Saccharomyces cerevisiae S288C: one gene and its partner. Changing the gene in region 1 together with any one later gene gives a genetic interaction. Each region holds a gene or a part of one and is shown in the gene's direction. Other genes may lie near its edges.

What was found. Genes that interact genetically often act in the same process or in processes that back each other up.
Region 2: mutations in ALT1 (region 1) and PDB1 together harm fitness less than expected from each alone (positive genetic interaction), as found in Saccharomyces cerevisiae (2 studies listed by BioGRID).

What each region holds. Positions count from the first base shown.
Region 1 is NC_001144.5:316,521-323,048, reverse strand, and holds ALT1 (alanine transaminase ALT1), read left to right. Parts: upstream 1-3,033; coding exon 3,034-4,812; downstream 4,813-6,528. Other genes in the region: GEP5 (Gep5p), read right to left, coding at 1-752; XDJ1 (Xdj1p), read right to left, coding at 969-2,348; GPI-anchor transamidase subunit GAA1, read right to left, coding at 5,098-6,528. UniProt on the Saccharomyces cerevisiae protein: Alanine aminotransferase involved in both alanine biosynthesis and utilization. Under respiratory conditions, constitutes the sole pathway for alanine biosynthesis and catabolism.
Region 2 is NC_001134.8:664,653-668,950, reverse strand, and holds PDB1 (pyruvate dehydrogenase (acetyl-transferring) subunit E1 beta), read left to right. Parts: upstream 1-2,697; coding exon 2,698-3,798; downstream 3,799-4,298. Other genes in the region: TDP1 (tyrosyl-DNA phosphodiesterase 1), read left to right, coding at 1-288; PCS60 (Pcs60p), read left to right, coding at 600-2,231; YBR221W-A (uncharacterized protein), read right to left, coding at 2,309-2,413; YBR220C (uncharacterized protein), read left to right, coding at 4,274-4,298. UniProt on the Saccharomyces cerevisiae protein: The pyruvate dehydrogenase complex catalyzes the overall conversion of pyruvate to acetyl-CoA and CO(2).

The sequences.
Region 1 (6,528 bases):
TAGAAGACGGCAGTCAATGCCAGCTCGTTCTCAGGAGAGAGCGGGGGGTTTTCTATGAAGAGGCTCTTGTAAATATGAGACAGCTGTCTTGCGAAAAGTTGGGCAATTTGTTTGGCCGGAGAAACTTCGCCAAGAGCGTTCCTGACAGGAATTTGCACGCCAGGGGAGGGGTATTTTTTGTGATTGTAGCTTAGATGACTGTTCGCTATTAAAAATTTGTAGTGGTTTCCAAGAGAATTTATCAGGAATATCCTCTCTGGTGTGAAGGTATCAAGATCTGTCCCACTCAGACGCATTAACGATGGCGGCGTTTGGACCCAAGGGTTTTTAACGTTAAACAGTGTTATCCAATCCGCCTTCAGCCAGACGCTCCTTGAAGACGTTGAATTTAGTTTCCCATTGTTTACAGCGATGGAATCTACCAAGTCTCTGTGGTTCTCAAATGGCCAGTGAGTCAGTAGAAAGTGGTAGTGTTTTTGGAAGAGATGCGCATGTCGTGGGAGCGGGTTATTCCATTGGAAGTGCGTTTGGTAAATGATACTCTCCAGTGCTTTTAAGCTTGCCCTTAAATCTTGTCTTCTTTGCGCCTTCTCGTACAGTTGTAGTGATTTTGTTAACGGCACGGCTATTTCTTTGAACTTGTAATCGCTTTGTTTACTTGTGAGTGTGGTCGTCAATGCTACCTTGGTTATTTGATGAAGCGGCGTAGACTCTATGACCGGCAGTAATAAGGCGTTAACCTGGGACGCCATTGTTGCTCCAAGTTCGCAATCGCTGTTCTGATAGAAGGCCTTTGTATGCTTGCTTTATGTCCGCCGCGATGGGGATTCTTCCTATTTTTCTACTGAAGGTGCGAAAGACTTCATTCTTCACCGCATTCAGTAAATGAATTTCATATATATACATATATACAGGTAGGATAACTTATGAAAAAAAAAAAAAAATAGAATAAAAAGTTATTGATGCCATCATTGGATACAGCAGTACGAACTTCTTGCTTTCTGATGCGCTGAATCCTGTGCTTCTGGCTTGAACGGCCTTATCCCTTCTGGAAGATCGTCCGTGTGAATGATCCGGAAATTTGATATAGTTTCGTTGTTAGTCAGGTTGCTGTCATCTTCAGTATTTACAGTCGCATGTGAGGCACAAGATGAAGATGACGGCAGATTCGTTTTTATTGCTAGTAGTTCTGATTTTTCATTGAACCAGTTATCTGGTGGAAATTCAATATGAACGAAAACATACAGATCGCCGCACCGGCCATGAGGGTTATCTAAAATGGGCCAACCTTCATTGGCGATTTTGATGGTGTCACCAGGTCTTACTACTCTGCCAGGTTTAACGCTCAATGTTAGTAACCTGTCGTCGAAGGTTTTTGTCAAAAATTTCTCAAATCCCGTCAAGGCCTCGCTTAACGATATGGTAATGCTTGTATACAAATCTTCCCCGGCGCCGTCGTCAAAGTTCTTCAAAAAGATTTGCTTCTGCTCCAAGTTTTCTTGTTTTTCAGTGAGATGGAACTTTAAATCACCACATGTGGTCTTATCGATTTCCTCGTCCGCCATCCCCTTGACTGTAATTACGTCGTTAAAGTGGTGTCCCGGAGCCACGTTCACTGTGATGATTTCCTTCTTTGACAGGAGCCCCAAGCCTGCGCAATCGGGGCAAAAGTTCTTTGGATTCTTGGGTCTTTTAGTGTACTTCCCCTTACCATTACATTTCTCACAGACCACCCATTGCGAAGCTACCAAACCGGGACCAAACCTCTTCAGACGTTCCTTTGAACCCTTTCCAGCGCATGATTCACATTCCACATCGTGTGTAACGTGAATTTTCCTCTTTGGTTTCCAGCCAGAACCGTGGCACTTTATACAGATGACCTGTCTCTTTAAATCAAACTTCAGCTTCTTGCCCATGTACAAATCCTTCAAAGTAAGAGATATATCGATATCGATATCCTTAGAGCTTGTAGAGTTGCCCTCTTCGTACGCATCATACTCGCCAGGGAAATTATTTCCATCGTGACTTCCATTATTGAAGAAATTGTTAAAGAAGTTCATAAAATCTTCATCTCCAAAGCCATTAGCGCCACCGCTGCTAGCGGCACCATTATCATCACCATACAAGTCGTAATGTGATTTCTTCTCCGGATCGCTCAAGATCTCGTAAGCGGCAGTGATCTCTTTGAATTTGATTTCATTTACCTCCTTTGAGTCTTGATCCACATACTTGTCCGGATGATGTTTCAGGGCAAGCTTTCTGTAAGCAGTTTTAATCTCTTGCACGGTCGCATCTCTCGTCACCCCCAACACATCGTATAACCGGTCTCCTCTATCACTGCCACTCATTCAAAACTACACCTGCGTACTTACTTTTCCCTTTCTTTTGGGTCCAAGCGGCATATCTCTTAAGATAAGATAAGCCTGACTCTTTCTTTGCCTCTCTGCCTTTCTTTCTTCTTCCCTTCTGCAGAGGATGGCTCGTCGCTACTCAAATCCCGACCCAAGAAACAAAGAAACAAGGATTGCACAGCAGAGCGCTGCCCCACACACATATATGCATATGTTTATTTACCGCATATTCGTGGCTATATAATCCATATATAATACACAGCACATTCATGATATAATCTTACATAGTAGCACTTCCCATTAGACGTTTTCTGCTTTTACAGTACTGGTTTTTTTTTCACTCTTGCGTCTTTTTTTTTTTTCATTCTGAAGGGGTCCAAGCCTAACGATTTTCGACCTTTCGTTGAGACAACTTCACGTACTCTTCTGACCTGCTGTGGTTGACGTATTTAGAGTTTGCTGCGCCCTTTGTAAACGATCGTGACCCGCGGACCATACTAGGAAAAGCTCTTCCGTTACTACTACTGCTTTCTCGCTATTTTACTCTAGTTGTTCATACTAGTCACACGTTGCTCGAGAACAGGACCAGCTTCTTTGTTTCTCCCCCGCATTTAATTGTTTCTGCTTCTCAATTGAACGCATATAAATATATTTCCCCAGTCTTTATTTTGCTCTCTCCACGATGTTATCACTGTCTGCCAAAAATCACTTCACAGTGAGTAATTCTATAACTCACGTTATTAAGTCATATCATATAAGGACTCTCACTTCAAGCGCAGAAAAAATGCCACATATCACTACTCCTTTTTCTACCTCAGCCAGTAGTACAAAGTTAAAAGCTTTCAGGAAAGTTAGACCCGTCCTACAGAGACATAGCTCTTCCTGGATTGTTGCTCAAAATCATAGACGTTCATTATCTGGTCAATCTTCGCTAAACGACCTGCGTCATTTGAATCGCTTTCCACACCACACGTTGAAAACTTCGAATAACGAGTTTTATCCCGCCGAACAATTGACTTTGGAAGACGTAAATGAAAATGTCTTGAAGGCTAAGTACGCCGTTAGAGGTGCCATCCCAATGAGAGCTGAAGAATTGAAAGCTCAACTGGAGAAGGATCCTCAATCTCTGCCATTTGACAGGATTATCAACGCCAATATTGGTAATCCTCAGCAACTACAACAGAAACCTCTGACTTACTACAGACAGGTCTTGTCTCTCTTACAATACCCAGAACTATTAAACCAAAACGAACAGCAGCTAGTTGATTCGAAATTGTTTAAACTAGATGCCATTAAACGTGCAAAGAGTTTAATGGAAGATATCGGTGGTTCTGTTGGTGCTTACTCTTCTTCTCAAGGTGTAGAAGGTATAAGGAAAAGTGTCGCTGAATTTATAACGAAGAGGGACGAAGGCGAGATATCATACCCAGAGGATATTTTCCTAACTGCTGGTGCATCCGCAGCTGTCAATTACTTGTTATCAATTTTCTGTAGAGGGCCAGAAACGGGTGTCTTGATTCCAATTCCTCAATATCCATTATATACCGCTACTCTAGCTTTGAACAATTCTCAAGCTTTACCATACTATTTAGATGAGAATTCAGGTTGGTCAACTAATCCAGAAGAAATTGAAACTGTCGTCAAAGAGGCTATACAGAACGAAATCAAACCTACAGTTCTAGTGGTTATCAATCCAGGTAATCCTACAGGAGCTGTCCTATCACCTGAGTCTATAGCTCAGATTTTTGAAGTCGCAGCCAAGTACGGTACAGTAGTGATAGCTGACGAAGTTTATCAAGAAAATATCTTCCCGGGCACCAAGTTCCATTCTATGAAGAAAATTTTGAGACATTTACAGAGGGAACATCCAGGTAAATTCGATAATGTTCAGCTAGCTTCTTTGCATTCGACTTCTAAGGGTGTTTCTGGTGAATGTGGTCAAAGGGGTGGCTACATGGAACTCACTGGATTCAGCCATGAGATGAGACAAGTTATCTTGAAACTAGCCTCGATTTCATTGTGTCCCGTTGTCACAGGTCAAGCTTTGGTTGATTTGATGGTTCGTCCACCAGTGGAAGGGGAGGAATCATTCGAGTCGGACCAAGCAGAACGTAACTCCATCCATGAAAAGTTAATTACAAGAGCAATGACACTGTATGAGACATTTAACTCTTTAGAAGGCATTGAATGTCAAAAGCCTCAAGGTGCCATGTATTTATTCCCTAAGATAGACTTACCTTTCAAGGCAGTTCAAGAAGCTCGCCACTTAGAGTTAACTCCGGATGAATTTTATTGTAAGAAGTTGTTAGAATCTACTGGCATTTGCACTGTTCCCGGTTCTGGGTTTGGTCAAGAACCTGGTACTTACCATTTAAGAACAACATTTTTGGCACCTGGTCTGGAATGGATTAAGAAATGGGAAAGTTTCCATAAAGAATTTTTTGACCAATACCGTGACTGAATAAAAGGGGGCAGAACAGTCTTCAATAAACATTTAAATAGCTAGTTTATTATAATAATGTGATCGTTTCTTTCTTCCACAACTCACATATAGTTATTTGATATTATCGCATCTTCGCTTCTCTATGCCATGTTTCCATCAATACTTATGTTTTATTTAATACATATTTGTATCAGTATATCATATCATTTCATCTTCTTTTGCTTCGATTTGTAATGTTTGTGCGTATAAAATCAATTGCGTAGTTCGAACACCCGTTAATCCTTTACTTCTTACCAATGGCACCTAACTTTGCTTTTCTTTCGACCTTACTACGACAGATTTAGATTCAAACGATGACGCTAATATCAATAGCCAACATGGAAGCCAACCTATACAAAGTACAAACCAACTCCAACATTTCAAATCCAACCATGCTGAAACCAGTTTGTTTATTATATCAAATCCATGAAATTCATCATCAAAAAATAGTCCGAATAAGGTTATTGAAATAAATGGATTTGTCAAAATTAATAGTACTAAATTTTTTAGTTTTTGTTTCTGTTGTTGGGGGGTTGCTGGCGTTGTATCCATGTGATTCTCGACGAGCTCTATCTCATCTTTCGGCTCAGTTTTTATTGGGTTAGAGGATTGAGTTGTCACCTCATGTTCGCTAGAACTTTCAACAATGGTCTTCACAAATGTCATAGGAAATGCCAATGTGCCGATCAGTAAAGCCATTGCAAAGTTTATCATTAGCAAAGATGTTGAAACCAAACTGAAATATAAAAAAGCAACATTTTTCAACCTGTATGATAGTGGTTCTGAGATGTGAATTTTTCTGGAAAGTATCAAAGGTAAAAAACAAGATGCCATGCTAATTGTCATCAATAATCCCGATGAAGGTATTAGAAGAAACGCTTGTGAAACAACAAATGATATCACCAATGACACGAACCAAACCAACAACGCTACCAAATTATACTCGGAAAATAAGGATATATTTGCATAAGCATTGTTTATAAATGCATTTAATGAACTTATGGCGAATGCTATAGATAAAGCCACAGCGCTTGGCAAATAACTACTAATGGATACGAACTGACGTGGTGCTAATAACAAATAAAAGAAGAACGATTGGTGAAATTTTTCCAAAAGGTTATTAATAGAGCGAAACATTGCTTCGGGTATACGTCCAAATGTAGTAATATCATGACCACTGTTTCCATGTGCTTTCAATGTTACAGATTGAATCCTCCAGCCGCTAAATGCCTCGTTACCATGGGGCTTTTTAACACCGGACAACGCCCAATCCCTTATTCCCAGGCATAATATTTTTAATCTTGACCAGAAATTATTATTAGTTAACTGATCACTGGGTAGACCGTGCAAAGAAACTTTCATACCTTCATGTTCCGTAATGGATATAGCGATGTTGACAAGATCCAAATTGGGCAGCTCACCATTCAGACCGTCGTATGAGATTTCTACATACTCGAAGAAATCTTCCGTACTCGAATAATCCAACACAACAGCAGCTTCAATGGAACCACCAGTCAAATCTAAGGAAGTATGGTATGCCTCAACCCATGATCTTAATGCTGCACGAGGATTTTCGCTGAAGACAACAATTATATTCTTGGACCATACTGGCCAACGTGAGAAAAATCTTGCTAAAGATACACCCAAAGCTGCGCCGCCAATATTGAATTCATCATCTGAATTAAACCATGGAAC
Region 2 (4,298 bases), on another chromosome or scaffold:
TCGCAGGTATTTAAAGAACTAGAATGGTGCCTTTATACTTCGGCAAACCTCAGCCAAACAGCATGGGGCACCGTTTCAAGAAAACCACGCAATTATGAAGCAGGAGTGCTTTACCATAGTCGCAGGTTAGCAAATACCAGGAAGGTCACGTGCCGTACTTTTACACGTGACCGTAGAGGCTGCGCGGGTAATCCCACCCATGTGGCCGTGCCATTCACGCTGCCAGTCATACCATACGACTTAGCTGAGGACGAGTGCTTTTGCCTTGCTCGTCATGAGAACGACTAACAAGTAAGAGCGCGATGTTGCTGTCCACTTAGGCATCACTATATGGGGCCAGGAATGGCAAATTTACTTGATAAACTTCAGGCGATTGGATTTTGGTGCTCAGAATATTTTTTTCTCGGGCCGAAAGCGTCTTTAACTATTCCGAGCTAAAGCTTCCGAGTCCTTTATTCGGTCTTTTTTTATTTTTCAAGATTAACTGTATATAAATAGAGATGGTATGATTAAAAGCTCTTTTTAATAGATGCTCCTTCTTGAAATTTACTCCCACTGTGCTGCAAGAGGTTAGACGCTTCACGCACATTTTTGCTACAATGACAAGTGCCGCTACTGTTACTGCTTCGTTCAACGATACTTTTAGCGTATCCGATAATGTCGCCGTTATTGTTCCTGAAACGGACACTCAGGTGACCTACAGGGATCTATCCCACATGGTGGGTCACTTCCAGACCATGTTCACAAATCCTAATTCTCCATTGTACGGAGCTGTTTTCAGACAAGATACAGTGGCGATATCCATGCGTAATGGGCTGGAATTTATCGTCGCTTTCCTCGGTGCTACTATGGACGCTAAAATTGGCGCGCCCTTGAATCCCAATTATAAGGAAAAGGAGTTCAATTTTTATTTGAATGACCTGAAATCTAAGGCGATTTGCGTCCCAAAGGGTACCACAAAGTTACAGAGTTCTGAAATTCTAAAATCTGCCTCCACGTTTGGATGTTTTATCGTAGAGCTGGCCTTCGATGCGACCAGGTTTAGGGTAGAGTATGATATATACTCTCCAGAGGACAACTACAAAAGGGTTATTTACCGGTCTTTGAACAACGCCAAATTTGTCAACACAAATCCCGTTAAATTCCCTGGGTTTGCCCGTTCCAGTGACGTTGCCCTGATTTTGCATACCAGTGGTACCACCTCCACTCCAAAAACGGTGCCTTTGTTACATTTGAACATTGTGAGAAGCACGTTGAACATTGCTAACACTTACAAGCTAACGCCCTTGGACAGATCTTATGTCGTGATGCCTCTTTTCCACGTCCATGGGTTAATTGGTGTTTTACTTTCCACTTTTAGAACTCAGGGTTCTGTTGTGGTTCCCGATGGATTCCATCCAAAGTTATTCTGGGACCAATTTGTTAAGTACAACTGTAATTGGTTCAGTTGCGTTCCCACAATAAGCATGATTATGCTGAACATGCCCAAACCAAACCCTTTCCCACACATTAGATTCATCAGATCGTGTTCTTCTGCTTTGGCTCCAGCAACGTTCCATAAGCTGGAGAAGGAATTCAATGCACCTGTCTTGGAGGCCTATGCGATGACCGAAGCATCACATCAAATGACCTCAAACAATCTGCCTCCAGGAAAGAGAAAGCCTGGTACTGTGGGCCAGCCACAAGGAGTCACCGTCGTCATTCTAGATGACAATGACAATGTCTTGCCCCCGGGCAAAGTCGGCGAAGTTTCCATCAGAGGCGAAAACGTCACTTTGGGGTATGCTAATAATCCAAAAGCTAACAAGGAGAACTTCACCAAGAGAGAGAACTATTTCAGAACCGGTGACCAAGGTTATTTCGACCCTGAGGGGTTTTTGGTCCTTACAGGCAGAATCAAAGAGCTTATCAACAGGGGTGGTGAAAAGATTTCACCCATTGAGCTCGACGGCATTATGCTATCGCATCCAAAGATCGATGAAGCCGTTGCATTTGGTGTTCCCGACGATATGTACGGCCAAGTAGTTCAAGCCGCCATTGTTTTGAAGAAGGGAGAAAAAATGACCTACGAAGAACTGGTGAACTTCTTAAAGAAGCACCTAGCCTCTTTCAAAATTCCAACCAAGGTGTACTTTGTTGATAAGCTACCAAAAACCGCTACAGGTAAAATCCAGAGAAGAGTTATCGCAGAAACTTTTGCTAAGAGCAGCAGAAATAAGAGTAAGTTGTAGGCAGTATCCTGTACAATTTTATGCTCTCTGAAAGCTTCTATCTGGCACCCGTTTATATACGCCAATACTTATGTATTTTATCTATCTAATGAAACCACAGTATTTATCATGCCTAAGCTGATTCTTTTTCGTCGCGGCTGTTTCCGGGGTCTGTTTTCCGAGACTTCGAAGTGGGAGAACATGCAAAAGAGACGAGTCTTCAACTAAGAAGTTCTCCGTCATTAAAAGTCATGCGTTTGCACGTTTGCAATAAAAAGAGGTGTATCTACATATACAGGTTAACGATTGCAACAGCGACTCTTGATATTATCTCTGTCAAGTTTCTTCCTTTTGTTAGACTAATTTAGTATCATTTACACACTCGGACGTTAAATTCCGCCTCCCTCATAACAGTTCCTGTGTTTGTTCATTGATAATCGATCGCAGTTTAGTAAGTTCTTTTACTTTTGCAATAATTTTGTTCAACATGTTTTCCAGACTGCCAACATCATTGGCCAGAAATGTTGCACGTCGTGCCCCAACTTCTTTTGTAAGACCCTCTGCAGCAGCAGCAGCATTGAGATTCTCATCAACAAAGACGATGACCGTCAGAGAGGCCTTGAATAGTGCCATGGCGGAAGAATTGGACCGTGATGATGATGTCTTCCTTATTGGTGAAGAAGTTGCACAATATAACGGGGCTTATAAGGTGTCAAAGGGTTTATTGGACAGGTTCGGTGAACGTCGTGTGGTTGACACACCTATTACCGAATACGGGTTCACAGGTTTGGCCGTTGGTGCCGCTTTGAAGGGTTTGAAGCCAATTGTAGAGTTTATGTCGTTCAATTTCTCTATGCAAGCTATCGATCATGTTGTCAATTCCGCTGCAAAGACTCACTACATGTCTGGTGGTACTCAAAAATGTCAAATGGTCTTCAGAGGTCCTAATGGTGCTGCAGTGGGTGTTGGTGCTCAACATTCACAGGACTTTTCTCCTTGGTACGGTTCCATTCCAGGGTTAAAGGTCCTTGTCCCTTATTCTGCTGAAGATGCTAGGGGTTTGTTAAAGGCCGCCATCAGAGATCCAAACCCTGTTGTATTTTTAGAGAACGAATTGTTGTACGGTGAATCTTTTGAAATCTCAGAAGAAGCTTTATCCCCTGAGTTCACCTTGCCATACAAGGCTAAGATCGAAAGAGAAGGTACCGATATTTCCATTGTTACGTACACAAGAAACGTTCAGTTTTCTTTGGAAGCCGCTGAAATTCTACAAAAGAAATATGGTGTCTCTGCAGAAGTTATCAACTTGCGTTCTATTAGACCTTTAGATACTGAAGCTATCATCAAAACTGTCAAGAAGACAAACCACTTGATTACTGTTGAATCCACTTTCCCATCATTTGGTGTTGGTGCTGAAATTGTCGCCCAAGTTATGGAGTCTGAAGCCTTTGATTACTTGGATGCTCCAATCCAAAGAGTTACTGGTGCCGATGTTCCAACACCTTACGCTAAAGAATTAGAAGATTTCGCTTTCCCTGATACTCCAACCATCGTTAAAGCTGTCAAAGAAGTCTTGTCAATTGAATAAATAAACTTCAATCCAATAGGAAGGAGAGAAAGAAGGAGATAGGGAACTTTTTTCCCTGTACCCTACACTTTCTACCCTCTTCGCGGAAATAGTACTAATGAGAAAAACATAAATAATATTTTGCTAATCAAGACATGTATGGCGTACTGGTTATTAGTAGATATATAACTGCAAATACACACATACATACAATGTATATATTTTGTTTTTACAAAATTGAATGAGATAAGTACTGTGCACATTGAATGAGTTCCTGTTTCATGGTTAGAATACGCACATATTTATTTTCTTTTTTTTCTTTTCGACGACAGGCTGAATGAAAGAAAGAAAATAAAGATACTCTGGCATGCGAAAATAAGTGAAAAATAAATCGGCTATAATGCGTAAGCTACTGTGGGAAGCAGAAGCAAGACCTAAACGTTTGGTGAGGCAGTATAATATACCATAGTTATAGGGGGATAAAACAAAAGTAGGCATGGAACCTAAGCGAAAGAGCGGGT